3 linked regions of the Mytilus edulis genome follow. The protein of the gene in region 1 purifies or fractionates together with the protein of each later gene. This does not show direct contact. Links are inferred from orthologs where the notes say so. Each region holds a gene or a part of one and is shown in the gene's direction. Other genes may lie near its edges.

Region 1 (10,486 bases):
TGAAAAATGACTGTACCAAGTCAGGAATATGACAGTTGTTAACTTGTGTGATGTGTTAATGTTTGAGCTTTTGATTTTTCCATTTGATTAGGGACTTTCCTTTTTGAATTTTCATCGTAGTTCAGTATTTTTGTGATTTTATTTTTAACGGTACATAAATATTACCTTCTGATGTGATGTACTCTCTCTAAGGTTTTTCATTATGCCCCCTGTTTCAGATTTGTATCCACAGGTTCCTGGGTACAAAGCTCTGAGCATGGCTAGGTGACATCGACTTTCTCCTGTGTTCTCTCTACCTTGCATTTCACAGTATACAACCCCAGCATTTTCTCCTTCACCTGATACATGATGCACCTCAGTGATATATCCAGATTCCTACAAACAAAGTATAAAACAACCAATCCATTAATGTATTAATTGTATTGTACTGTGTTCAGGTAGATGCTTCCTTTATCTAGGGGAACCCTCAGTGTCAGAATAAGGTCCTCAATAAATGAGACAAGAAGGGTATTATATTCTACTCTTTCCTTGTAAAAGGAGCCAAATAAATCAACATTTGACAACAACAAGACCATGATGACTATCTCTACATGCTCTAATTGAATCATTGATTTTTTTCTTTAAACCATAAAAACTGGCACTTATGTGATAAATTTTATACTATCAGACATCATGGACAATTTTGTTTTTAAATTATGTTTCTGGTCCACTACCCTTTAATTAACCCTTCATAATTTACAGAATAATTCTCAAATAACAAAAATATATTAAAAAGCTTTTTCTATTAACATGAATAAATGTTTATCTTACCGTAAGAGTTGGATACAAAACATGTTCCACATAGACTGGTAAGAGTTTGAGAAAACCTTCACTACCAGCATTGGTCATGGTATAACAGGTATGGTCTGTATCTGTCCAGGCATTGGTTCCTGAAGCTAAACATCTGTTGGCTAGTAAGTCCAGTACACCCTGTATATAAAACATGAAAGGTCTCAAATGCTTATAGGTTCAGCTTTCAATCAGATTTCTATGGACTGAATATTTGATAAAATTAGGGGAACTTTTAAACCTAATATTTTTATTCATTGCTAAATTATATTATAACCAGCTAAATTTTGTTAGGACCTGTTTCAGTTATATTTTACACAAAACCAAAATAAAGCAAAAGATATCACTTTGCAGAGTACTGAATTTCTGTGGGAGCATCTTCCTTGAAACAATTATGAAGCCCTTTTTTATAATTATACCTTATATGGATATTCTTCACTTCCTAAAAAGATAAGATGCTCTAATGTGTGAGGCAAACCATCGTCATCATGAGCTTCTGTGGCTGAAATTAAGCGTATAAAAAATTCATTAAATATCAAAATGCTATGATAAACAAATCTAAAGTTTTCTCTAGATCTGGTTTAAATTTATTTTGCCCAAATAATTGCAATCTAAAGTTTATCAAGTTGCCATAAAGTTCCTCACAAATGGAGGACCTAGCTTACAAGCTAATTAAAAAATTAAAAAAAACAATAGCATATGTTTATATTTGTGTTTAAAGTCAACAATCTAGTGACAGAGGTTTTCTTTGTTGATGTCCTTTTAATATATTGTTTATCAAATGACGAAAAGATACTAGATTGATATACAAAATATTTTATTACTCACAGATCAACTTTAGCTGTTGAATCAGCTTTCGTAACTAAACTTTATTTTTTGTAACTCACAACTAGACTTTTTTCAACTCACAACTCTGCTTTTGTAACCATGGTAACTGGACAATCAACCTTTTTTTACTTGTAACTCGGAACCAGACTTTTTGTAACTTGTAATACGTTGTACATGTACATGTAAATTCACTTTTGTAACTTGCAATTCAACCTTTTTTAACTCACAAGTCAACTTTTTAGTGTACAACTCAACTTCTGTAACTCATAACTTGACTTTCTTAACACGGACATAGTTATATAGCTAACTGTGTAACCCTCTTAAAATAAAGTATTGTTGTTGTTAGCTCCCAAATCGACTTTCTTAACTCATAACTAGATGCGCATGCTCTATATACAAGAAGACACCTTCATCAGCTGAATCAGGGATAACTACGCCCATAGATAAATCAGACCTACTAATAAGATAACTTGGAATGTCTATGAGGACAACTTGGACTGTCACTTGGCATTTTGTCATTTATGTAGTTTCATCTTCTTGCCAACCTTTATTTTTTCATAGGTAATGATGGTCAGTCAGGGGACTTACTTAAATGAGTGATTATTAAATCACTGATTCAAGTAACATTATGTTCATAAAGGTCGTAAGTTAGAGTTGTCTTTCTTTAATAATCACCTATTTAAGTAGTACAAATTTATCACTAGACTAAGTGATTTAATTTTATTGTAGTTTTAAATATAGAATACTAATGATCCAGGGACTAATTATGTTTCTAAACTTATCAGAACCAACATCTGTGTTGTCTAGGATGACCAGGTCATGTCAGGTGATGACCTTGTACTGAATCTAGGATAATGACATAAAAATCACTTGTTTAAGTATCATACCTCAATTTCCTTAAAAAAATCACTTTTTTAAGTATCATTGTTCTAATAACCCCCATTAATTTCAACACCCCCCGAACAGTGAATTTTTTATCGCGAACAGTAGAATTTTATTACATAATCTGAAAGATGAAACCTTGAACTTTACAGGAAAAATACTCCCACTGCTGGGAAAAATCTGTGAAGAAAGTATCAGTTCATTAAGTTAGGCCATTATTATAGCATTTTATCCACTAAAATAGAATTTGCAGCTAAATTATTGCACCAAAGGCATACACCTTTCTACTTAAAAGAAGCAAAAAGTTCATTTTTTTCAATTTTACTAATGAAAAGATATTATCTAAACCTATGTGTTTAAAATTTTAGTATAACTACAAAATCACAATTTATAACAAAATTTCTAATCACTCATTTAAGTAAGTCCCCTGACTGATGGTACCTCAAATGACCGAATAACATTGTTATCCGAATAACACTTGTAATGACCGAATAACACTTGAAATTTTAATATTAGCACATTTTGGTGACTTTTAAACATTGATTATTAATTATAAGTATATTATCGATGTATTTTGTAACTTAAAAATGATTTATAGAAAGCAGACAAGTTCATAAAAAACTTTAAAAATTTAGTATGTAGATCCAATATGGTGACCCACGAAAATCACAATGGTCGCCAAGTTCGATGTACACACTAAATTTAAATTGATCTTTATGAACTTATCTGCTTTCTGTAAATCATTTTTAAGTTATTAAATACATCGATAACATATTATTATTCAATTATAATATCAGATTATTACATGGCATTTTTCATATCGCATGTACATTGTATTATCAGCCCTAGGTTCAATATCAGCCCAAGAGCCGCATGGCTCGAGGGCTGATATTGACCGAGGGCTGATAATACATGCGATATGAAAAATGACATGTTATGATCTTTTTATCATATGCTTCAACAGTAAAGAACAGATTCATATAATGATCCTTTTAGAAAAGAAGTTCAAAGAGTGAAAAGTTCAGGGACGTCGGACCCAAATTTTGGTACATTCGATATGAGTCTTTCTAACATATGCCTCAACAGAGAGAAAAAAACCATTTTAACATGGACGAATCGATAAAAAAAAATAATTCAACAATATACATAATGAACATTGTTTGGAAAAGTCAACCTTTTTTAAAATAACTTTCTAAATTATGTTTGAAACTTTTAAAAAATGCATTTATTAAATAATTTTTTTTTTTTTTTTTTTTTTTTTTTTTTTTTTTTTATATTATTTTACACAATATATTTTCCAGTATCCAAATAATTGTTTTGTACACTACTTTGTAATGTTTTTCACTGAAAACGTAGTATTGAGGTGTATTTTCCGGAATTTGCCGAGTATCACCGGAATGCCATGTGATAACGTTACGGAAAGGCATGTGATAACAATCGAAGCATGTGATAAACTTTTCATATCAGCCCGCTTAGCACTAATTGGAAAAAATATGAAATATACGTTAATTTAATGCTATTATCATACGGTAAAATTCATGTTATTTAGTCTAAGTATATGATAATCAAATTTATAAAAGTCACCAAAATGTGTTAATATTAAAATTTCAAGTGTTATTCGGTCATTCGTGTTACCCATATATCATTCTCATCATCAGCTTCCTCATAATGTATAATCAATAAATTATGTATCAAACTGTAATTGTTAGACGTGTAAGCATAATTTTAGTAGACCCTTCCAGCTTACCAAGGCAAAAGTATCCATTGACAAGAGGACCTCCAACATCAGCTATGAAGATAGTGAGGCCAGTTTTACCAGATCTATATTTTGACACTGGTATATTTCCGTCTGCTTCGACTGAATATACCAGATCAAAACTTGACTTTTCCGGCATTTTTGAAATTGTGTTAGTGTGTTCAAAGAAAACACCAAAGACATTCCGAAAAGAAACGGTCTCACTAATTAGAGACAAGAAGCGTCAAAAAGTGACAAGAAGAATAAATTTAGCGACAAGAAGCGACTAGAAGACTATTTAGTGACAAGAAAACTTTTAAAAAAAAAATATTTATATAAATATATTAAAAAATATGCAGGCATTTTTTTTTTATATACGGGCAGTTTTTATTATATATGAGAACCATCTAAAAATACAACTATAACCATTTCAAATAACGCACCACAACGACCTTTTTTTATCGACAACACTTTCGTAAGATTGTTTCTTTTTAGAACTATTTAAAAATCCTACTAAAACCATTTTTAATGTTTTAGAAATAACGCATCACAACGTCCCTTTTTATCGACATACTTTCGCCAGAATGTGTCTTTTAAGAACCATTTAAAAATTAAACTAACACCATTTTTGTATGTTTTAGAAATACCGCACCACAACGACCTTTTTTATCGACAAAACAATCGCCAGATTGTGTCTTTTAAGAACCATTTAAAAATTAAACTAACACCATTTTTTATGTTCTAGAAATACCGCACCACAACGACCTTTTTTTTTATCGACAAAACAATCGCCAGATTGTGTCTTTTAAGAACCATTTAAAAATTAAACTAACACCATTTTTTAATCGACAAAACAATCGCCAGATTGTGTCTTTTAAGAACCATTTAAAAATTAAACTAACACCATTTTTTATGTTTTAGAAATACAGCACCACAACGACCTTTTTTTATCGACAAAACAATCGCCAGATTGTGTCTTTTAAGAACCATTTTAAAATTCAACTAAAACCATTTTTTATGTTTTAGAAATACTGCACCACAACGACCTTTTTTATAGACAAAAATATCGCCAGATTGTTTCTTTTTATAACCATTTAAAAATCCAGTAGTCCTTCATTACCTGAAGATTATATACTGTTTAAACTTTTGCGCTGCGTGGCCTATATATATATATTTCACAAAAACACACAAATAATTGAAAATGAATTTTGAGTGCGTACTTCTTTTTAAATTGTGATCAATATTATAACAAAAAAAAAAGAAAATCACTTTATTTATCACAAAATATTAAATCAAAATGTCAATGCATTCTTTTTATGTAAATTATTTTAATAATATTTTTTAAGTTTTCTTGTCGCTAAATCTATTCTTCTTGTTGCTTCTTGTCGCTTCTTGTTGACAATTAGTGAGACCAAAAGGAAATACTAAATTAAGGACTACAAGAAAGAGCCAGTAATTAGAAGTTTGATTCTGTATCTGTAGTGGTACGTGTAGAATCCTGTTTAGGCTTTTATATACGATTTCAGTTTTTCGGGGCAAATATCGCGAAAATCAAGCGAAAATCCCAAATCTTGCATGGAGTTTTTTTTTTTTTTTTTCAGATACGAGGTAATTTGGCCAAGTTAGGAACACTGCCATATTTTAGCAAACTCATAATATTATGTTTGGACTATCTCTAGCATATTCGATTCATTTTCTGCGAAAACGTGCATGTGGCATGTCTAGAATGGGGTAATTTGATCAATTTAGCTTTTAATTTGAACATGTCATTCTTCCAATTACAATGAAAGAGATCATGAGTGCATTGTATTCCTGGTTTTCGTTTATTTTCTCTCAATAAATTATGATTTTCCTTATTTTGTATCTAAGCAACTCACTTACTCAGCAAAAAAAATATTTTACTTTATCAGAAACAAACAAAACAAATCATAGATGAAAACGATACTTTATATGTCTCCGAATGAACGTAAGGTACATCATAATAAATGGACAAATATGGCCGTATTTTCACCTCAAAAACTACTCTGTGTACAGACTTACCTGTGCTGTTTGGAAATTTTTAAGGCCTAGCATCCACTAGATATATAAAAGTTTAATGCATTTTGTGTTTAAGAAAGATAAAATCTTTTTTGGTTTTTGATGGGCATTTTAATATTTTTCCTTTCTGGAGAAGGTGTGAAAATAAACAACACCTGAATTACTTTTACACTGTCATGACTACATGTCCACTTAGATAAACTCTTTAACTCACCTATAGTTGTGAGGATACCTATTGTCCATGTCAATTAAGAACATTCAATAAAATACAAACCAGTTTTTACCTGAGGGAGCATCTCAAAGTTGTTCCACAACTTAGTTTATTTTCATACCTTATGCATGAAGGAAAAAAAATGCCCATCAAAATCAAAAAGAGATTTTATCTTTCTGCAACACAAAATGCATTTAACTTTTATATATGTATTGGATGCTACGCATTAAAACTTTTCTTACTGGACAGGTAAGTCTGTACTCAGAGTAGTTTTTGACATGTAAATACAGCCATATTTGTCTGTTTGTTATGATAAACCTGAAATGTATTTTGAATTGGAACTACCATACCTACTTATTTATTTGGGGCAAGAGACAGTACATGAACATAGACCTTTTGCTGGGCCTGAATTATAGTAAATTATATTTTCCATTACGACACCTAGTCCAAATACATTAATAATTGATGTCTTGAAAGGCTTTTTTTTTTAAATTCTGCTACGCCTTCTTATGACGTCATAACGTTGAAACAATTTTTTCCGTCTGGACTTAAGAGAGAGAATTTTGGTGAGAACTGTTGAGACCCAATTTTGGCATGAAATCTTCATTGCCAGCAAGAAAATGTTTGCGTAGTTTGAAAGTCTTACCTTTTTAGTGCTTTTTGATGCACAATTAAATATTTCCAGAAATAACCAAAAGAAACCATTTGATGGACCCGATTTATATTATCCAGGAAATTTGAGTCTGCCAAATTTGACAGAGTTTGATATTTTATACTATCTGGAACTGACATACAAAAATGTATTTCAGAAATTCTGGGAAACCATTTTGAAATAAAAGAAAATATTTGCTCTCCACAAATGGAATCTTATCTTATTTTATCATTTCTTTAAGATATTTCTGGGAATGTTTCATCATGATTTGTCTAGTGCAAAGATTGGTCATGGTGGTCCTAATATGTTACCATGTGAAGGACACAGATGACTTTAAGGGTTATATTTAACATTATTATCATCTTTTATAATAGTATTTTACATGATTTTAACTTACACTAGTTTAATTGTATGACAACAGCGAAACAAGAAGTTTGAACAAAATTAACCTACATATTAGACTGGGATTTATAAAAAAAAACTACTTATAACCTATAAAATGAAGAATGGAAATATTTCAAACTATTTAACCATGATCAATATTGGAAGAGCTTTTGAAGTTCCCTGATGGGTACAGCATTTTGTCTATATTTATAACTACCATTGGGAAATGGCCCTGATGGATAATGAAGCAACACAGAATTGCAGATAAACACAAACAAAAAGGTTAAAGGTAAGTTTTTTCCTTCAATTAATTGATGTCTGAGTTTGAATGGATAGGGTACAAAATGTTTTACCAGAAAGTGTGTCAGGTTGTTTCAGAATATATATAAACTTGAAACTGTTGTCATACAATTAATTTTTTTTGTAAGTTAAAACAAGTGAAATGATTTAGAATGTAATCTGAGAAGTTCAAAAACCAAATATGGAAGTGCCTATCCCAAATGCAAAAATTTAAAGTAAAATTTTCAAATTATTTGATACACTTGTTTCTAGATATATAGGCAAGAATCAGTTCATATAAGAAAAGATTCAGCAAATATTTAAGCTTCAAGTTCAAACATAACTATCTGAAATGTTTCATGATTTATAATATTATCTTGCTTTCTGAACTAAAACATGAAATATGAAAGCAACAAGAATACATTCGAAATTAGAATGGAATATAAATTAAAATTGAAAAAAGTCTTCTATGAACTTGGTGAAAGATTATCATGGTACATACAAGTAAAAAAAATAACTGTTACATATCTCCAAAAAACACATTATTTTTCTTTGAGATGTTATTAGACAATGTTAGATGGCTAAATGCATATACAAAAAATGTAAGATACAATTATGATTTAATGATCAACATGAGCATAATTTTATTTTCAGTGTATGAATGCACACTGCATCTAGTATCAAAGATAGACAACTTATCAGGACACTAGTAAATATCATCACATTCAATTACTATTGCTGATACAATGGAAAACGATATTTTAGATTCACTTGAAGATTTAGGGTATAGTGGACCAGCCCTAGATGATGGAGTTTTTGACAGTTTTGTAGAGAATGGGCCATGTCAACAACAATTTACTGAATTAGTATCTTGGCTCACTGATCAAATTAAATCCTTCACTGGATTAGAAGAACATGTTAATCCAATAACGAGTTCAGAGGACTCAGCAGAGTTTGTCATGGAGCTAAGTGGCTTTCTCCGAGAATTGATTTGTCCTTACAATCATTTATATGAAGGAGGCCCAGTTACAGAAAGAGTAAATTCTAAGGAAAACAAACTACAGCTGTTGGATTATTTAACCTCTGAACTTGCTACAATCAGAGTATTAGCTGTTAAAAAACCTGGTCTTCTCAAAGCAGCAGATCAGAATAAACCAGAAGATGTGAAAGAAAGTGATGTTGCTAAGCATTTAAAATTTATGTTGATGGGATTAAGCTTTCCTAAACCACCTGTAAATGTAACATCTTTTCAGTTATTTAGCAAGGTTGAAAATAAGATAAAAGAAATATTAACAAAACATCCTATGCAGGTGGGTAAACCTTTATTAAAGGCTCGCCTTTCTGATATGCAGTGGGAGCAAATATTAAAGATAAACAATTCCTTAGCACTAGAATATCAGACAAGACGTGAAATGTTACTTAAAAGACTAGACGTTACTATACAATCATTCATGTGGGGTGATAATGCGAAGAAAAAGCAGAATGATATAGCAGCAGTCTATCAGCCGATTAGAAAGTTGCTAATGGGAAAAACTGCTATAAGTGTTGCACAAATACTCGCGGCAAGGGATGATTTAACTAGATTAGAGAAAACAAGCAGTGGTGAAGCAAGAGATAAAACAAGATGTGCAATAAATAAAGTTCGTATTCCAAAGGTACCAGATAGAGGGGGAAGAGCATGGGAGCTAGAGCCTCCACCTCCTGAAATGCCATCATTTGTGAAAAGAGTAGATCAACCCCAACAGCAAAGGCCTCAAAGTGGTTACAATAGCGGGCGTGGTGATCGAGGACGTGGTGATCGAGAACGTGGTGGTGACCGAGGAGGAGGTGGGCGTGGAGGTAAAGTACAAGGTGGTTGGGGAGATAATCAAAGTCAACAGTTTGGTGGTCAGTGGAATCAGGGAGGAGGTGGTGGTCAAGGAGGAAGAGGAGGTGGTGGCTATCAAGGCGGTGGAAGTGGTGGCTATCAAGGTGGTGGAGGTGGTGGCTATCAAGGTAGTGGAGGTGGTGGCTATCAAGGTAGTGGAGGTGGTGGCTATCAAGGTGGTGGAGGTGGAGGAGGACACAGAGGAGGAGGAGGGGGTTATGATCAAGAAGGACGTAGTGGAAGTGCAAGAGGTGGCAGAGGTGGGAGGGGTGGTGGACGTGGAGGAAGAGGGGGAAATAGATAATTATGTTATTAACACTTAGTTGTTGAATTTTTCCTGACATTGAAAATGTATGTTAATATTTTTTTTCAAACTTTTAACAGCTATTTGATAAGCATGTCAGATAAGATATAAAAGTAGGTGTTTTTTTTTTTTTTTGCTTACCCACAAAACATTCGGCTACCAATTTTTCTTCAAGAAATTCCAAAGTGAAATATTCATGAATGTTAATTATTACTATAAACATTCTGGAAGTAATTTACAGTTTATTGGATTTAAAAACTTATCACTATTAGTCAATCCTGTTAATATTTATCTCGGTGGCAGGATAATTAATTCACATTTGTATTTAATTTCATTTCTGTTACAATTAGATTTTTGTAGTCATGTTATCTCACTATTTATAGTACCAGAAATACTTGCATCTAGTATTTGCTACCAGTACGGGTTAACAATAAGAATGGTGCAATTTTATAATGAATTATGAAAAATTAAATTCTCCT
Region 2 (10,559 bases), on another chromosome or scaffold:
CATTCTGTTCCATTAGGAATTTACTACCACATAAATACTGCCATGCCCTTGACCTCAGAGAGGGGGGAATACCTTTACCTGATATCTCCCTGCATTCTGTTCCATTAGGAATTTACTACCACATAAATACTGCCATGCCCTTGACCTCAGGGAAGGGGGAATACCTTTACCTGATATCTCCCTGCATTCTGTTCCATTAGGAATTTACTACCACATAAATACTCCCATGCCCTTGACCTCAGAGAGGGGGGAATACCTTTACCTGATATCTCCCTGCATTCTGTTCCATTAGGAATTTACTACCACATAAATACTGCCATGCCCTTGACCTCAGGGAAGGGGGAATACCTTTACGACATCTTTCTCTTATCTGAAAAATAAATAGACATCTGACTAAAAACATACTATTGCATCATATTGTATCGGACTAAAAACATACTATTGCATCATATTGTATCGGACTAAAAACATACTATTGCATCATATTGTATCGGACTAAAAACATACTATTGCATCATATTGTATCGGACTAAAAACATATTATTGCATCATATTGTATCGTACTAAAAACATATTATTGCACTATATTGTAACAGGCATGACAAGGAAATATTTATTCTAATTGCAAGTAATTTCTTTATACATGTTATATATCGTGTATATTTTCCACACCAATTTACATGATTAAGATATATTTTACATGTTCATTTGTTATAGACAACTTGTTGAAGGCTTCGTGTTTCTCTTTATGCATGTTATGTCTCTCTTGGTTATTTTAGTCCTTGGCTTGATGTCATGTTGACTTTTACTACACATCTCTTTTAATTCATATTCCAGTTTAATAAACACTTCTTATATAATTACAACATGTTTAGATGTAGTGAAATTTTTATCATTGGTTTTATGATATGTCTAGTTCTTCAATTATGAATTCTGGTCCATCTTAAATCTGGGGGAATGAGATAGATTCAGTTTGGCTGGATGAGTAGAATAATTACAATATAATTTTCAAACGTAATATAAAATAAATTAAACGTAGGTTAAAGAAAGTTCATAATATGATTGATTTAATTGATTAATCATGTTAATATTAAATATCAAAGTAAACATGTAAATAAAGTAAGAAATTTGTATTAATAAAAATATAAAATATATTTGTTTTACCTTTTTAAATCTTTTACTCATACATTTTTTACCTTTTTAAATCTTCTACTCATATATTTTTAACTTTTTAAATCTTTTACTCATACATTTTTACCTTTTTAAATCTTTTACTCATACATTTTTACCTTTTCAAATCTTTTATCCATACATGTACATGTTTTACCTTTTTAAATCTTTTACTCATACATTTTTTACCTTTTTAAATCTTTTACTCATAAATTTTTACCTTTTTAAATCTTTTATTCATAGATGTTTTATCTTTTTAAATTTTTTACTCATACATTTTTCACCTTTTTAAATCTTTTACTCATACATTTTTACCTTTTCAAATCTTTTATCCATACATGTACATGTTTTACCTTTTTAAATCTTTTACTCATACATTTTTTACCTTTTTAAATCTTTTACTCATAAATTTTTACCTTTTTAAATCTTTTATTCATACATGTTTTATCTTTTTAAATTTTTTACTAATACATTTTTCACCTTTTTAAAATCTTTTACTCATACATTTTTTACCTTTTTAAAAATTTTACTCATACATATTTACCTTTTTAAATCTTTTACTCATACATGTTTTACCTTTTTAAATCTTTTACTCATACATATTTACCTTTTTAAATCTTTTACTCATACATGTTTTATCTTTTTAAATCTTTTACTCATGGTCCGAGACCACAATTGTCGTCCCTTGATTTTCGTTGTTCACAAATATAGTCTCTAGTGTTAACAGTGGGTTACTTGCCATTAATTTTAATACCCCTTCCAAATTAATTTCTCCATGTTTAATGCCTCAAATTGTGAGTAAGGGGGTGAAATTACACTGTAAAAAAATTTGGGTCCAGAATTTTAAAGGAAAGTAGTGATTTGGTCCAGGTGAAAAAGGTTGAAATATAGCACTTCGGAAGCTGTCAAAAGATTTCAAGTCGCCCTAAAGATAAAATTGTCCATATTTTGAGTTAGAGACGATGAAGTTTAAATTTGTCCCAAAAGTAGTACAACACACTAAAAGTTTCATTGAGAAAGCGCAGGTGGGATTTTTTTAATTTTCATTTATGTTCTAAAAGAAATGCACTACAAATTAATTGTGTTCTCGGACCTCATACATTTTTAACTTTTTAAATCTTTTACTCATACATTTTTTTACCTTTTTAAATCTTTTACTCATACATTTTTTACCTTTATTAAATCTTCTACTCATATATTTTTTACTTTTTAAATCTTTTATTCATACATGATTTACCTTTTTAAATCTTTTACTCATACATTTTTCCCAATTTTCAAACATTTCCAGCCATTTCATCTCTCTTTTCCTTAATTTCTCAAAAGAGATCCTGTGTTCACTGAAAATAGACAGTACAACCATTCACAGTATATATATACATGTAGCATTGTCATGATTGTAGAGAGTTTAAACACATTTTATTTCACCATCATGACCATGTTCACAAAGTAAAATTGATTGGACAGCAGTAAATCATACTTTCAAACTCCTCTAGAGGCCCTGAATGCTGTGTTATCATGGTTATACATGTTATAATATACATGTACAAATGTATGTATCAAATTTAACGAAGGCATACACAGACGTCCTGCTGGTATAGGTTACCATTTCATATCTTAAGTATGGTTTATATACATGAATACACAGAATTTTACTGAGGTCAAATATCAATGGGTCAGTAATTTTCATCCTTCGAATTATATTAGATAAATTTCAGCAGTGTTCCAGCTAGGCCATTTTCAGAGGGCGCAGCGCCCGCCCTTTCCCAAGTGCCACCCTGTGCCCTTTTTACAGTTTCCAGTGCGCCCTGCCTTTTTGAAGATCGATTGTATATTAATTTGTTCATATTGATATGATATGCTAATTACTAAATTTTACCTGGGGAAAAGTTTATGACTTTGTTTACGACCCCAAGCTAATTTACAGTTATAACTGGTGTCATAATCTGTCGTTATAGGTAATCTGTTTATCGGATGGGTCATTAATGATCATCAACTTTAATTTCGGCAATTACCTTTGAAGAAATGTGCTTGGGCACAATTTGAAATGTTTACTGCATGTAGTTTCATGGAGAAAACGTAATGACAGAAATTTGAAAACCATAAAAAACTAGTTGAAAACATTGTTTTACTTGTTTTCCATGAAATAAACAGAAAATTCAGACGTATTTGTCATTGACTGCCCTCATTTATGATACGAAAATAACAAAATCGGCCGCCATATTGTTTTCTATTTACATTATATTTACGTACTGTTTATAATCCTCCAAAGAAGGAGCACATCCAAATAAAGAAAGATAACTCAATTTTTTCCTAGCATTGAGTAACTCATTTACGAGGGGGGATAGGAGGGGTCCTGATCCCGAAATCCCCGGCTTAAAAAAACGAAATCCTGAGGTCCCGAATTTAAATCAAGTAAATCCTGACGTCCCGAAATTCGAAAAGAAGGATTCTCAGATCCGGAAAGGGTCAATCCAGAAATCCCGAGCTTAAAAACACCCGATCCCTGAGTCCCGATAAAGGTCCTATCCCCCCTCATTTACCTTACATATTCTAAAATATTACATACTTCCTGCTTAAGAATATATATGTTTAGGTATTTTGAGTTATGGGAAAAGTTAAAGAGAGTCTTAGTAGCAGTGTTGGTAGGATGCCTTGGTCATCTTTTTCTGTATTTTTTATTTTTGATACAATTTTCCCCTGTTGCTGTTTATCCTGGGCTGTATATATTACTGGGCACAGCTGTTTTGTGCTGTATTGCCATTAAGCACAGCAGGGGTAGAAACTGTGAAACTGGTAAAATGTGCCAGACCATAGAAACAGAAAGAAACCAGGCCCGTAGCCAGGAATTTCCAAAGGTGGGTTCGTTGGACTCACAAACTCGACTTTAACAGTCACAATTCGAACAGAACATTGACTTTAACAGTGCTTATTTGTTTTCAGAGGGGGGTTCGTCCGAACCCCCCGAACCCCCTCTGGCTACGGGTATGGAAACAGGTCACCTTTCAAAACATACTGCATATAAAGCTCAACTGTGCCAAGCAATGATCTAAAAACTTGTGCGACAAGCTGCTTGATAAGTTTTTTAGCCTTCAAAGTAGAAAGATAGAGTTATATATGGGCTAATGATGTTGTTTTTGTATAACCTGTGATTCAACGAATAAACACAATGTTTGATTAATATCTTTTATTAAAACATGCCCTTTTCATATTATCATATCACACGGTAAATGCCCTTTTTCAGGATTGGCACCCTGCCCTTTTGAAATCCTAGCTGGAACACTGTTCAGTGATAATGGACCCTCATACTAAACTCTGAATTATACACAAGAAACTGTAAATGCTGTTGTATCTTTTTACTCAAATAAAGATATGAAAACTTGTACTTTGATGGAGAGTTGCCTCATTGGCACCCATACTGATCTTCTTCATTTGTTCTTGTGTGTATCTTTGTATTGATATATAATTATGTGACTATTTTCTTGCATTCTATTTAGAATTTGTTGTAGTTTTAGCCATAGTGGTTACTTCTGATGGAAATTCAGATGACAGAAGTCTGAATTTTATATTTAATTTCATCATGTTCATGTTTCTCAAAATTTCATCATTTACAAATTCATTTTCTAGAAATGAAAAAAAAAAATCTAGGGGAGGTGGCTTTAAACTAGGGTTGGTTGGGTAACTGGCACCACCCATAAACAAGAGGGTAGTAATAAATGACTTATGATGGTAAAAATTCTTGCCAAATGACGTTTAAGGTAATTTTTAGTACATGACGATAAAATGTACACTTTCTTCATGTTCTTTTAGACGATAAAAAATCAGCTGAATTTCACAAATCAAGCTATTTTTTTCAAAAAAAACCGGTAATAATTATTTGAGACATCTGACCAATCACAATAAGGATATTTTGACGAATGATGCTAAATTTTTAAACAATTTGACGCTTAACGTAGTGAAAATGACTGTTTGACACCTGACGGTAAAGAGCATTACCATCCTCATACAATGTATGATTTCAGAATGAGATTTTACTATTAAACCTTATCATTAGTTGGCTACCATTACTGGACATCACACAAGTTCCAGTAAAATTTTGACGTCATAATAGAAAATATCTGATGCCACAATGGAACAGTTATTGTTGTATATATTAAATGTCAAAAGTTCAAGAGGGAATAGCTACAAAGTACAAGATGTATCAAGGTTCCTATGTCATTTCCTAAAAGATTTAAAAATTGATAAACTACGGTTACCTTAACTGACTCATTAATTGATGCATATTGTTTGGGATATAAACTTACTCGTCTGGGTCAGTATATTGGTCACCACCCATGAAACCAAATCTATCGACATGAGCCATAGCACTCCCATTTTGCATTTCCCTTCCTTTCTCAATCTCCTTCGTGTCTCTCGGACTATCATCTGGAATTGCATTTGCCATGTTTTAGAATGAGATGTCTATCATGTACATATTATTTTAGATGTTAAGTCATGCTTTGCCTTGCATTACTAAATTATTTTTTTTATAGATTGTTGATGTTAGAGGTGTCTTGGGCTGGTTAAAAGATTGGAAACTGTCCTCTCGAACAATGACAGCTTGTTTTATTTTATCTACGAACAACAGCACTTAAATAATTTGTTTTCAGGACTGATCGACGAAGGGTGTCAACTGTTATAACCCAGAATTTATTTGCTTGATGATCTTCAGGAAGTGGTGTCTACCGGAAGTTTACAATTTTATGACACATGCTCATTGAACCATGACGAAATAATTATCGGACTTTCTTTCACATTTCTTTTCGCTTTAAATAAACTTAACCATGCAAAATCTTCACACAAATAGTGTAATGACTGGTCTTATTTCAATAGACTGTCTAGTTGTTTTCAAATAATTTCATTGGGGTCAAATCGAGAGAGACCGACATTGGTTTTTTCACACAACTCACTACTTCTTGGAACAACCGAAATAGTCCGCATTCATGTATTCATTTATCTGATATCACAGCTATGGGGATACTGTAAATAATAATAAAAATAGTAATAAAAAGATGTTAATAAATGGTTTAGCATCAAATCTGCAAAAAAGAGGCAATAGTTATAAAATTTAATATAAGAAAAGTAGTGCGTCCTCCATAGCAGAAATATATTCTACCGCGTAGCAGCCTGTGGCAGAATAAATCAACTTTGATTGAACAAACCAACACTTAACATATATTGCATTGATTTGCTTTTAGTGACATTATATTTAAACTATAATATTTGCGGAAGAGATCGGTACATATTTTGTACCGATATGAACTCCTGATTTGGAGAGGATCACATTCTAAACACGACCTGACAGGACCTCCATGATGAACAGTCAAAAGAGAAACAGAACCCATCGACCCAACACAAATACTGGAAACAGGTGCTTTTATTCGGTGTCTCACAACAATTTACCCCTCATCATCATGTCATTTTAGACAATTTCATTGTCAGTGAGCCAACAGCCTTTGTTTACTTTTTTTATCCTCAAGTCAGTCTCAGTATCTCGATGTTACACGTTGTTCATCATTCAATGCGGTCATGATTTCGGTCTGGCGAATAATTTACATTATATTTAACTGTAATTAAACCAGATTGTAAAATAAACGTTTAAATTATTTTTAAAGATAAAATGTCCAAAAGTTATTTCAGTTGACACATTTCTTGATTATCATGACAATATGAAGAATTTCAATACACCTTAAGTCCTTATCGCTAATCCCGGCTGACCCGGCCGCTTGAACTTGTGACACATACAACAATCACTTTTTCATTGTGGCGTCAGATATTTTGTAGTATGACGTCAAAATTTTATGGGAACCTGTGTGATATCCAGCTATGACGGACAAATAGCGATAAGGTGTATTAAATGCGGAGGGTGGTAAAGGGGGATACTGAACACGGAAACATGTGAAATAAAAATTTCAAAAACATTGCACGAAAAATTAAAAAATTGAGGACAACGAAGCACGAGAAATAAAGGGGTAAATATTAAGGAAAAAGTACCATAAGTTTTTACTCAGTCGTTCTTGGTGATCATACAGCCTTATTAATGGACATGGAGACTTTCCGGTCCACTTTAAGTGTCCGCTACTTGCATCTTTTATGAAGAAAAAAATATTCACAGTAATTTGATGGACTTCAATGATACCATACATAATGCAAAAGTAGAATGAAAACAACATACACCAATTACTATTAGATTTCATAAATTTCAGAAGGTATGCAGTATAACAAATTGCGGGACATGCACAAGATATAAAGAGCACAGTCACGAAACACGGAAAATAGAATAAGGGGAAACACGAAGCACTCAAATTGAGCCAAACACGAGAAAACGAGAAATAAAATGTCAAAACACGAAAATATGGGAAATAAAAAGGCTGAAAACATTGCACGAAAATAACCCTTTACCACCCTCAATGAGAAATTACATATTTTTACAGGAGCACTAAGATAAAAATCCTGAAGAAATTTAGTTATTTTGTACCATTGAAAACTGGTACATGTATCAATGTAAACATATACATGGCATTCTTATTCTGCAGTACCTCATGTATATACCATTATGAACAAGATTTGCAAACTCACCAACTTACAAACCCACAAGCATGATAAGTTATATTATTTGCTTTAAATTACCTAAATAATTCTGCTTTCCCCCTTAATACACTTTTATCACTATTTTCTCCATTTCTGGACATAAGTTCCCTAAAATTTTGACGTCATAATAGAAAATATCTGACACCACAGCAGGACATTCCAAATAGCGATAAGGTGTACATAAACACAATGAAAGTCCCAACTATGTACTGGCTTCCGAAGCTGCACAAAAAACCTTACAAATATAGATTTATTTCATCTTCCAGCCATTGTTCAACTACTAAATTGTCTGTTTTACTTACTAGTACACTTGGTACAATAAAAAACCTGATAATAAATTGTTCAAATAAGGCCTTTGAAAATAGTGGAATTAATTACCTTTGGAGTGTCAAAAACTCATTGGAAGTACTTGATAAATTGCATGCATATATTGGTGATTTTGAATCTGTTCAAAGTTTTGATTTTTCTACCCTATATACCACTTTGCCTCATATTCTTATTAAGAAAAAATTCACATCCCTAATTAACTGGGCATTTAAAAAGTCGGAATGCGAGTACATATGTTCTAACTCTTTTAGATCATTTTTTAGTAGCAATAAACAAAAGAACTATGTCAATTGGACATGCTTTGATACTATTTATGCACTTGAATTTTTACTTGATAACATTTTTGTTCGCTTTGGAGATTCCGTATATCGTCAAGTTATTGGAATTCCAATGGGGACTAACTGTGCACCACTTATTGCGGACCTGTTTTTGTATTGTTATGAGTTACAATTTATGACTAAAATTAGCAAAGACCCATCAAAACAACATTTGATACAAAAATTTAACAATACTTTTAGATATTTGGATGATATATTGGCTCTAAATAATGACGACTTCAGTATGTATACTAAAGAAATTTATCCTGTAGAACTTACTTTAAATAAAGCTAATGATAACAATGACCACTGCCCTTTCCTCGATCTTGATATCTATATCATAAACGGGAAGCTTAATACAAAAATTTATGATAAAAGAGATGATTTTTCATTTCCTATTGTTAATTATCCATTTTTAGATGGTGACGTTCCCTTGTCACCATCTTATGGTGTTTATATATCTCAACTTGTACGATTCGCTCGTGTATGTAACAATGTATTAGATTTTAGCGAGAGAAATTTATGTATTACTGAAAAATTATTACACCAGGGTTTTCGATATCACAAACTGGTCAAAACATTTACTAAATTTTATCACCGGTATAAGGAAATAATTCGTAAATATAACTCAACATGCAGACATCTTATACGTTCAGGTATTTCACATCCAAAATTTTATGGAAATATTCTTTATAAAGCACAAAAATGTCAGTATTCTCCTCAGAAACTAACAAAACCTTTAAATAGACTTATTAAAAGGGGATATAGTTACGATACTGTTGTCAGGTCATTAAAGATTGCATATTTTGGCTTTAACATTGATTCACTGATAGGGTCTTTGCATCGGAACTAAACACATTTATTTCTAAAAAAACAGTTGTTGGCATGACACGGGTTATGTTCTTCTCATATATTTTATGATAGTATGATACTAAACCCCTAACGGGAGGGATTGTACCTGATATTCATACAGTACGCCCAAGGAGTTTGTAATCCCAAACTCCATACTCCGATATTTTTCCTGGTGTAACACCAGGAAACTCCGACATCCCTCCCAAAATTCTCGGAGAAATTTGGGAGTATTCCCTCCGACTTCCGCGTAAATCCGCTACCTTTTGTTTATTGTATTAGCGACATCTCTCTCAGTCTGGTGTGACGCGGTGTGACACCAGGTAATTAATTGCCCTAATCCGTCTGATCTATGCCGGCACGCGACAGTCAAGGTATGTGAGATTTCTAATGTAATTAAACAATTGTATTTCCTGTCTATTGATTATCAGGTTATATCTGATTGCTTGAAACAAATGAAAGATTAAAATAAAAAGCAAAACGTTGTTGTTAATTCTTTCAATTACTCTGTACATTTTAATCAAGTTTTTAAACAACTATATTTGATTTTGACTTCCGTTTTTTTATCAGTAAATAAATATTTAATTTACTAAAAGAGATATAATTGTGCAACAATAAACGGAGACTAACGCTGAATAAATGAGGGCAGTTTAAAGAAAAATTACACGTCTCAAAGTTTTTTATACTACAAGTAAAAAAGAAAATATTATTCCTTATCTGTTATGCTAATAATTCTACGCCATTTCCATTTTACGATTACAAAATAAAAGTTTTAAAATCCAAAACGTTGTTGTTAATGCTTTCAATTGCATTAAAGTTTTATAAAAAAAATCTATACTTGATTATGACCTCGTTTTTTATTTATCGGTAATTGATATAACTTACGAAAAGAGACATACTTGCGTGAAAATAAACGGAAACTAACGCTGAAGGTATAAAATGTGAGCAGTGAGTTTAAAGAAAATTACGTGTCTTAAAACTTGTAATTGTATATGCAAGTAAAAAAGAAAATACTATTCACCATTCGTTATGCTTAATAAGTCTACGGCATTTTCTCTTCACGATTAGCATTACTTTAGGATATAATACATTTCGGCTACAACAGGAATACTTCTATAGCTGCATCAACTCGTCGTTGCATAATATTCATTTACGCACAATGAATGTAAACCTTTGTGTTGTATTTAGAACAGTTATCTTTAAATATTTTTAAAACAATTAATTGCCGTGGGAAGACGACACGCATCTCAGTGATCAACAGTGCGTGGT
Region 3 (10,447 bases), on another chromosome or scaffold:
ATTAGATGGAATAGAAATATCGCATTCCAGTATATTTCTTGCTACTCTTTTTTGAAGTTTTATGATTCTATCTGAATCTTTTTGTAAAAAATTTCCCCAAACTGAACTACAATAGTCTATATATGGTAGAATATATGCATTATAAAATAGTTGCCTTGTGTGTATTGGCAAATATACTTTAATTTTATATAAAAGTGATATTTTAGATGAGATAATTTTACATATATACGATCAACATGATCTTCCCAGCTTAAATTTTCATCAATGTCAATTCCAAGTAATTTGAAAGAATGGAAATTCTCAATGCATGTTTCGTTGACGGTAATACATAATTCTGATAGTTGTGTAAGTTTTTGTTTTGAACCTAAATTTATACGCTTTGTTTTTTGTGCATTGATTTTCATACTGTTATTGTTACACCAAGATTGTATAGCATTTAAATCATTTTGCAATATGCTGTTTATTTTTTCAATGTTTTTATCATGAAAATGCAATGTTGAATCATCAGCATATAAATTCATGTTGGATTGTATAACATGAAGTGGTAAGTCATTTATATATATCAAAAATAACAGCGGACCTAAAATAGAACCTTGACGCACTCCATACTTTACAAACGATTTATCAGATTTAATGTTGGCGTATTAGACTTGTTGTTGTCTTTCAGACAAATATGATTTTATTCAATCTATCATGTATTCTCCGATATGATAAAATTTTAACTTTTCTAAAAGTATGGCATGGGTAATAAGGTCAAAAGCCTTACTAAAATCTAAAAACACTGTACCAACTATTCCTCCATTATCTAAATATTTTAACCATTCGTCAATTAGTTTAGTTAGCGCTGTTCCTCAACAAATGTACATATATGCAATGTTATGTAAACTAATGTGTTTTTCTGTATACTACCTTTGTCCAACTTAGGTGATACCAGAACAAAATGATATATATGGCACGAATGACCTTGTCTGAAACCTGACTGGGCGATATGTAACAATTTTGTATTGTTTAGGAATTCATATAACTGTGTGAAACATGTCTCTCGAAAATTTTAGATATGGTATTTAAAATAGAAATTGGACGATAATTTGAGGGAATATCTCTTGGTCCTCCTTTATGTATAGCAGTTACTCTGGCAAGTTTTAATTTTTGCGGAAAACGATTTGAAGTTATACTTTTGTTTATTAAAAAAGTTAATGATGGCGATATTATTTCTGCACATAGCTTTAAAAAAATTGGGACCAATTCCATTTAAACCTGTGGATTTATTAATATTAAGATGTTTTAGTTGAGAACACACCTCTCCAACAGACATGAGTTTTAAAAAAATTTCAGTTTTCTTTAATTTTTTACCAGTAAAATTTTGTAGCATAGAAAAATCAATATCTGAAGTATTATTTCCAATAAGTTTTTCAGCTACGGATGAAAAATAAACATTAAGGATGTACTTAGGTGAGGTTAGGTGAAAATTAATAAATTGAGAAGTTAAAATTGATACTATAAGCTGGTAGAGCATCAATTAAGGATAAAAATAAGCTAAACATATTGATAGGTCATGGACCTCCTTTACGAAATATTTGAGATTTAAAATATGGCGGGAAAAGGCTGACTCGGGCTTTTACCTTATATTTGCATTGGTATTATTAGGTCTCAAAGCAAAAGAAAGAAAATTAAGAATCTTCTGAAATTTGGTAAATGACCTTTCATGAGCTATTAAGTCTTAAATGAAAAAATAAATGGGTGTTATGGGGCAAAATATTTTACATTGTATTGTATGGAAAAACACCAAGGGGTCCGAACATTTGACACAAATTCCAAAACCTCACCTAAGTACATCTATAATACTAAAATTACGAGGTCCAATTTGTCAGCCGTCATCACGTAAAAACGACGAATCACAGAATTCAACTTTATATATAACTAATATAGTACAAAGGTGTAGGTTAAAAATTTTGTTTTCCACGTATTAAATTAATATTGCCAATAATGAAGAAGTTCCGGGTCGAGTCCGCTACCGATACCAATAGTATATTCACCTGTTACCTATTACCTTATCTGTACGTTCCGCATCTGACAGGCGCACCACCAAACGTTGTATTCAGGATTAATATGCTATATACACGGGTCATAACCACAGGGTTGACACTACTAAATTGTCAAATTGTTACCTATTGTTGTATTTTAATCAGTTAGACTTTCTAAGATAACAATACGAATACTAAAAATCTGGACTAAAAATAAGGCGTATCAGTAGGTACAGTTTTCAATTTGTTAGTGGGCATGACGTAAAACAGCGAGGCAAAGAATTCAACTTTACTTAAAACTTATATAGGACAATGCTGTTGATTAAAAAATACTCCATTCCAGGACCTTTTGTTTTCCAAATAATTAATATTACCAATAATTGATAAGTTCCAGTTCGACGGGTTCAAACAGATAGACTTGAAAGCAGAGAAAAACTGTGTATCTTATAATCGGCACGACTTTAACAGATGACAATAATAATACTAAAATAAGGCTTGCGCATAGTTATATACTTTAATTCAATCACGGACCCGTGATATCACGGGTGTGTTCTAGTCCTTATAAAGAGTATTTACAATATCTTGGTTTTTATAAACAGTTTGATTTTCATACTGCATTTTAGTTGGAAAAAATATTATCCTCTTTTGGATTTTACTCTTTAATATGATTCCAAAGTTCTTTACTATTTTTGGAACTAGTTATAGTTTTGGTAATATTCCTTTTTTGCATTAAAGAGGGGGGCAAGGGGGGTCCCCATAACAGCAAAACAGTGAATTGATTTGGTGAAAAACAGATAACAAGGAATTGAAAAGGGATAATAACAGATAACAGTAAATGAAATATGAAAATAAATCTGCCCAGGACCAATCCAGTAGATGACTCGTAGATCTTAGTATATAACTTGTGGTATGGACCTAGAAAATTGTAATTTGTGTAAACAAGACGTTTCGGCCGTTGAGGCAGTTCTGCCTTGGTTGATTTTTTCCGTAACTTGTACAATAAGTTATAGTATGATTGTTGAATTTTTCTAAACGAAATTACTAGTTTCTGTTTTTGATATAGGGAAATTTTTAATCTAGGGCATTTTTGGGATCAATTGTTAATGATTTAGGTTTTTTTATTTAATTTTTGAAAATAGTGCAGCCAGTGACACTTTATTATCAAATTGATTTTTAGATTTTTTTTCTTCTGAAAAGCAATATACATACTTTACAAGTAATAAAAAAAACCATTGATGCACAATATATTTTTTTTATTTAATGACCTCATGATAAAACTTACTTATAAAATACAAAAATACCCAGATCAGTTGAGACAGGACATGTAACTGAAACACGCATGCCAGTTATGGTTCTTCTGATAATAGAAATTGCCTCAAGTGACAATTCTGATAGGATAATAGAATTTGGACCGAGTGAAAATTTGGATGACACCAAGTGAAACACCAATCATGCATCTTATGTGAAATTATAGAATATGGAAAATTTGGGTACAGCATTGGAGAAGCTGTAGGATTTTTAAAAGGGTATTTGTTGAAAAATTAAACTGAAGACACATCTTTATTTGCATCAATGGTTTCAGAGCTTCAATTTTCGCCATGTGAAGCAGTTAAAAAGCTTTTAAAAATATGGTGGTCAGGGTTCTCTTTCATGTAAATGAAAATAGGGGGGAGTAGCACTTATAATATAAATGCTAAAAGAAAAAGATGTTGTATAATTTCAAAAGTCATAATTCAAACCCATACCACTTAGTAATATAAAACAATTCAAAGGAGAAAACTAACTGCCTAATTTATCCACAAAATAGTGAACGAGAAACTTAGTATACAGTAACAATCTACAATCACTGAATCCAGGATCCTGACTTGAAAGTAGGCACATACAGAATGTGATTGCGTCAACGTTAGCATGCTAGTTGGTGTCCAATCCTCCCCTAATCAGGAACAGTGTTGAAACAGTACAACATAAACATTATTATGTGGTCATTGAATAAAAAAAATCTATAGGGTGTTGGGTGTTCCAATGCTTTTTTTATAACAAAATCCATACTATAAGTTAATGTACAAGTAATAATTAAGTGAATTATAATTTGTACAAAATGCTACATGTTCACAGACAATGGAATTTATTACAAAGTATAATAATAATATATACTGGAATGGTCCTGGGTCCAATTGATTTTAATATGTTTATGTGATGTCAATCTAATTAAAAACCGATCTCTCATCGCTCCTGTTTCTGTTATGTCGCGTCCCACGCGACATATCAGAAACAGGAGCGATGAGAGATCGGTTTTTAATAAGATTGATGTGATGTATGTTACTGAAATTCTTCTGCAAATACAGGGCCACCCGATATTACCAGTAGAAAGACCCCAACAGATATACATTGTAAGAAGGTGTGGTAAGCGTGCCAATGAGATTATTATCCATTCAAATTACAATTTTCAATTATCTTCAAATTCTACGGAAGATTGGCTGTCAAAATGCTAACATTCCAATTTTCAATAACAGTTAACAGCAAATACATTCTCACAATAACAGATAACAAAATAGATAATAGTCCTATAACAGCTAACAAAGAATAAGACAATAACAGCTAACAGTAAATATATTTTCAGAATAACAGATAACAAAGAATTAAAATGCCCCATAACAGCATAACAGTTAAACCCCTTGCCCCCCTCATTAAATCAAGGACGTATATTAAGTTGTATATATACGTCCTTGATTAAATATTAACGACGTTGTTTTATTACTCCACTTTTTAAAGTTTACCCAATCTTTTTTTGAATGATACATATTCCTATATTGAATAGAATTTTTAATTTCTTCATTGAACCATTCGGCTTGTTTAAATGTTTTTATTCTTTTAGTTTTCATTGGTGCATGCTTGTTAATAACTTGATTAAAAAGTTCATACCATTTGTCAACAGCAATATCAATATCATCTTCCATTTCAACAATATGAAAAGGGGTTTGATGTAAGTCTGTACAAAAGGCATCTTCATTAAATTTTTTGAAACACCTATACTTTATTTCGACACGATTTTCTTTCTTTATCTTTATATTGATTTTTCTATTCAAGCATACAGGATATGGTCATATGAAGGAACATGACAATGGGCAATATTTTCAGGATTAGTAGTGTAAATCTGATCAATTAGAGTTTCCGATTTGTCACCGTGAAATACGTGTTGCAGTGCAAATTTGTTGTTGAAGATTAAAATTGTTTATGAAATTCATCCATTTTTTATTCTCAATTTTTATCAAGTCAATATTAAAGTCCCCCATTAAATTTATCTCTTTGTTTTCTGAAAGAGCTGCATTAAATTCCTCCTCAAAAAGATCTATCCAGGACTGAGGGGAATTTGGTGGTCTATAAATACTGAGTACAAATGAAGAAAGGTTTAGATTTTTGAAATTCTACCTCTAACCATAAAGTTTCTAATGTATTAATGGATAAATCAGCTCTATTTTTAACTGCAATAAAATCTTTGACATAAACCAAATGGCCACCAACATCCTTACTCTGGCGATCTTTTCTGAAATTTTTTATCCTGGCACTTTATATTGTTCAATGTTAATATTAACTCGAATAATTCAAGCCCTTTCCGTGTCCGATTTTCTCCGACACATGTAGCCTTCGTAGATTTTAAGAATGTATCAACTAAGGGAGCTACCATTTGATTTTTAGGGGGGGGGGGGGGGGGCTAGGATGAAATTTGAAAAAAATAGGCAGGACAGGAGTTTTGAGTTAAAAAAAAAGGCAGGATGAGACACTTTGCAAAAAAAAAAAGGCAGGATGACCATTTAGGTAAAAAAAAGTCAGGATAAACTAATAAGAAAAAAATGCAGGACCGAATAGAGTGAAAAATAAAAAGGCAGGACAGAGATTACAACTAAAAAAAATGCAGGACAAAATTTTTCATCCTAGCCCAACCCCATAAAAATCAAATGGTAGCTCCCTAACCCAAATAAATCTAGATATTTGTTGTTTATAGTAATTATATTTTTTAACTCGTCAAATTTAGATAGAATATGTCTAACATTAAGGCATACAGCATTGAAACCTTTACATTTTATTAAGACAGTTTGTTTGATAATGTTTGTTTCTATAACTTTTAGGTTTTGAGCTGAAGCTATTAGCACATATACCATTTCCTGATTTATGACAATTTTCTCTAGAACTTTTGCATCAGGCCTTACCTTCATAAATATATTTGAAACAGCAGCTTTCATACAAACATTCATCAACCTCTAATTGTGGTAGTTTGGGTATGCTTACGGTACATCGATGTCCTTCCATTAGGTTTCTCTTTAAGGGAAATAACTCAAATAACTCATGTGCACAATTGACTGGTTTATGATGAAAACTGAAACCAGACCACAAAGTGTGGAAACGTTGTCGTTGGAAACTTTTACTTTATTTTTTCTGTAACCTGTTAGCTAAATTATGTACAAAAGAAAACTCTTAGCTTTAGATTATCCTCAACCAGAGACGTTTAATCCCGAAGGTAGGGTATTGTATAGGGCTTAGAACAGTTTGTTTTTATAAGATGCAGCACCGATGAGACCGGTGCCCAGCCGTGTTTCTCTCCGTGTACTTCGGCTTCCTCCTCCATAATATCAATGTCCTGTATCATTACACCCCCTGGTAATTGGGTAACGGATTGTCCGTGGTGGTGAATTGTGTATAAGTTCCTGAAGTTAGTGATACACCTTAATTAATCCTTAAATCAATATCAATGCCAAAATGGGGAGTGTACACAGATTCTACTGTACCCAATGTTCGACCATACTTGTTTAGACAATACCATTGCTATCGTCTACTGTACTGTCATTTGGGCCACACTTTGTTAAGTCGTTTCAACCATGGGTTTTGTATCGCCTGCTTTGAAAGTCCCAGAATACAAGATACACAATTACAATCTGGCAGAGGTAACCACAACTGCGTAAATTATGTGTCATAAAAGCTTTATACTTCAGAAGTAAGAAACTATCCATAAACTATTTTAATGCCCCTGCGGTAGCAGAGGGGGCATTAAGTTTTACCCTTGTCCATCTGTGCGTCCATCCATCAGTCCATACATTCCTAAATTGGTTTGCGTTTTCTAACTTAAATAGTTTGTCTCAACCAAATGTATTGAAACTTATACACATTGTCTCAACCAAATGTATTGAAACTTATACACATTGCTTATTACCAAAAAAACACAGGTCAAGACTAAATTTTGGTGGTGTCACTTATACAGTTCAAGAGTTATGTCCTTTTAGAAAATCAAAATGTCTGTTCTGAAAATATAAAAGTTCATTTTTAAAATATCTTTGAAAATTGGAGTTATCTTTCTTTGTCCAGAATGGTAGTTAAATCAACCAATGGTCCGTGACCACAATTATTTCGTAGTGCATTTCTTTTAGAACATAAATGAAAAATTAAAAAATCCCACCTGCGCTTTCTCAATGAAAATTTTAAAGTGTGTTGTACTACTTTTGGGATAAATTATATTAAAATTACAGAAAACTTCATCGACTCTAACTCAAAATATGGACAATTTTATGTTTAGGGCGTCTTGAAATCTTTTGACAGCTTCTGAAGTGCTTATTTTAAACCTTTTTTAACTGGACCAAATCACTACTTTCCTTTAAAATTCTGGACCCAAATTTTTACCCCCCTACTTGCAATTTGAGGTATTAAACATGGAGAAATAAATTTTTAAGGAGTATAAAAATTAATGGCAAGTAACCCACTGTCAACACTATGGACTATATTTGTGGACAACGAAAATCAAGGGACGACAATTGTGGTCTTGGACCCAATGCTTTATTCATTTTTACTTCCAACTGATAAATTAAAGCAATCTTTACAAATCAGTGCTTACTGTTGTCAGGTCATTAAAGATTGCATATTTTGGCGTTAATATTGATTCACTTATAGGGTCTTTGCATCGGAACTAAACACATTTATTAAAAAACCATTTGTTGGCATGACACGGGTTATGTTCTTCTCATATATGTTATGATGGTATGATACTAAACCCCTAACGGGAAGGATTGTGCCTGATGTTCATATGATGAAATCATAATCTTTCAGTCAGTTTAATTGAAGTCTGGAGCTGGCATGTCAGTTAACTGCTAGTAGTCTGTTGTTATTTATGTATAATTGTCATTTTGTTTATTTTCTTTGGTTACATCTTATGACATCAGACTCGGACTTCTCTTGAACTGAATTTTAATGTGCGTATTGTTATGCGTTTACTTTTCTACATTGGCTAGAGGTATAGGGGGAGGGTTGAGATCTCACAAACATGTTTAACCCTGCCGCATTTTTGCACCTGTCCCAAGTCAGGAGCCTCTGGCCTTTGTTAGTCTTGTATTATTTTAATTTTAGTTTCTTGTGTACAATTTGGAAATTAGTATGGCGTTCATTATCACTGAACTAGTATATATTTGTTTAGGGGCCAGCTGAAGGACGCCTCCGGTGCGGGAATTTTTCGCTACATTGAAGACCTGTTGGTGACCTTCTGCTGTTGGTTTTTTTCTATGGTCAGGTTGTTGTCTCTTTGGCACATTCCCCATTTCCATTCTCAATTTTATTACAAGCACTTTGATTACCATTCAAGGGTTATGCCCCTTTACAAATGGAAAAATTACTAAATTTTTTCATTTCCATTCTCTCACTTTAAAAGTTTGTCTCAACTAAATTTACTGAAATGTATATACATGTATAATGCTTATTACCACTAAACTCAGTTTAAGTTCAAATTTTGGCAGCTTCACTTTTACAGTTCATGAGTTATGTCCCTTTATAATGTTAAACGCTAGTGGGGGCATCATCTGTGTCCCTATGGACACATTCCCCATTTATTTTGTACTTCAGAGATTCTACAAATGTTTTTGTATACTTCGTCCTGAAGATGCTGATCTAATGCTGATCTAATCGGGGTAGCATGTTGATCGATAAAAGATGCGGTTTTCTTAAGTGCTGCTGTCAATTTTGATAGCAGTATTTATGATATTTATTTCACAGTGGTTGGATACAAGAATTTTTTGGATGAAAAATGAACCTTGAAATAGATAGTTAGGAATGGAAATGCAAAGACTCAAATCAAGCAAAAGCTTTATACATAAATGTATTTGGCATGTCACATAACAATAACATAAGTTCTTTGGGGTGTTATAATCAACTATCTATTATGACTGTTTTAAGTCATACAGGTAACTGTACACTCTCAATGATTTACTTGTAAAAAAAACCCAGAAAACAGTAGTCTACAAAATACAACAAAGAAAAATAAAGACTGAGCAATACAAAAACCTGGGTAGATCGCATGTGCTCCTAAAGGAAAATTGGAACGCATCCTTCTGTGAAACAAGTCGTAAATTATGTTTTAATATTATGTTTGCACACAATACATTGTACATGTTCATGTACATTTCTTCTGTAGCTTCCCCTTGCAGACATTTTCCTAAATATAATGATAAAATTTTTAAATGACAAGTCTTAGAATTGTACTTGAAATTTGAATAGATCCTGGGGTACATTTGTACATGTAGTTGTTAGCTCCTAATACTAAAAGTTACATTGGCAATAGACAGTAATATAATATATTACTTAAAATTAATATTTTTCAGATGAGAACTACTTTAGAAATTTTATTGTTTGGTTGGAAGACCAGAAAATCCGACATTATAAGATTGAAGATAGGACAGGGCTACGTAACATGCCTAGCAGTGATTGGACAAAACATTTTCAGCAGTATTTAGAGGATTTAGGATGTCCTTACCAACCATCCCAAAGATCTTTATTAATTGATTGGATATTAGGATATTCAGTCAGATTAGAATATGGTGATAATGGTAAGAAATACAGATATAGATTGGAATTAGAATATTGGCCAAGTTGGGAGAATGGTACTAAGTAATGGCAATTTCTGAGAAAAGTCTCTGGCTGGAAGAAAAGTGTATTTATATTAATTTGAATAATCTTTCCTGGCATTGACATAAAAATACCATTTTACACACTCTATATTTTCCCGACAAATTGGATATGTGCAACAAACAGCCTTACAGAAATACCCACAAAGAATATATTTTCCATACATATGTAAATACATTCTGTTTATACCAAAATAACTTTTTATGCCCCACCTACGTTAGTAGAGGGGCATTATGTTTTCTGGTCTGGACGTCTGTTCATCCGTCTGTCTGTTTGTTCGTCCGTTCGTCCCGCTTCAGGTTAAAGTTTTTGGTCAAGGTAGTTTTTGATGAAGTTGAAGTCCAATCAACTTGAAACTTAGTACACATGTTCCTTATGATATGATCTTTCTAATTTTAATGCCAAATAAGAGTTTTGACCCCAATTTCACGGTCAACTGAACATAGAAAATGATAGTGCAAGTGGGACATCCGTGTACTGGGGAC

What was found.
Region 2: the proteins of protein FAM98A-like (region 1) and ataxin-2-like protein purify together in Homo sapiens (co-immunoprecipitation; 3 studies listed by BioGRID and IntAct, with this or other methods). This does not show direct contact. The link is inferred for Mytilus edulis from reciprocal best matches to the Homo sapiens genes FAM98A and ATXN2L.
Region 3: the proteins of protein FAM98A-like (region 1) and RNA transcription, translation and transport factor protein-like purify together in Homo sapiens (affinity purification with mass spectrometry; 4 studies listed by BioGRID and IntAct, with this or other methods). This does not show direct contact. The link is inferred for Mytilus edulis from reciprocal best matches to the Homo sapiens genes FAM98A and RTRAF.

What each region holds. Positions count from the first base shown.
Region 1 is NC_092345.1:24,241,687-24,252,172, forward strand, and holds the start of protein FAM98A-like, read left to right. Parts: upstream 1-5,911; 5' UTR 5,912-5,933; coding exon of another isoform or gene 5,934-6,004; intron 6,005-8,490; 5' UTR 8,491-8,582; coding exon 8,583-10,007; 3' UTR 10,008-10,486. Other genes in the region: uncharacterized protein C05D11.1-like, read right to left, coding at 166-375, 811-969, 1,248-1,330, 4,286-4,433. UniProt on the Homo sapiens protein: Positively stimulates PRMT1-induced protein arginine methylation. Involved in skeletal homeostasis. Positively regulates lysosome peripheral distribution and ruffled border formation in osteoclasts.
Region 2 is NC_092349.1:93,598,202-93,608,760, reverse strand, and holds the start of ataxin-2-like protein, read left to right. Parts: upstream 1-6,098; 5' UTR 6,099-6,518; coding exon 6,519-6,577; intron 6,578-10,559. Other genes in the region: TBC1 domain family member 10A-like, read right to left, coding at 263-370, 2,408-2,507, 5,472-5,611. UniProt on the Homo sapiens protein: Involved in the regulation of stress granule and P-body formation.
Region 3 is NC_092346.1:102,674,014-102,684,460, reverse strand, and holds the start of RNA transcription, translation and transport factor protein-like, read left to right. Parts: upstream 1-6,368; 5' UTR 6,369-6,479; coding exon 6,480-6,540; intron 6,541-9,658; coding exon 9,659-9,883; intron 9,884-10,447. UniProt on the Homo sapiens protein: RNA-binding protein involved in modulation of mRNA transcription by Polymerase II. Component of the tRNA-splicing ligase complex and is required for tRNA ligation.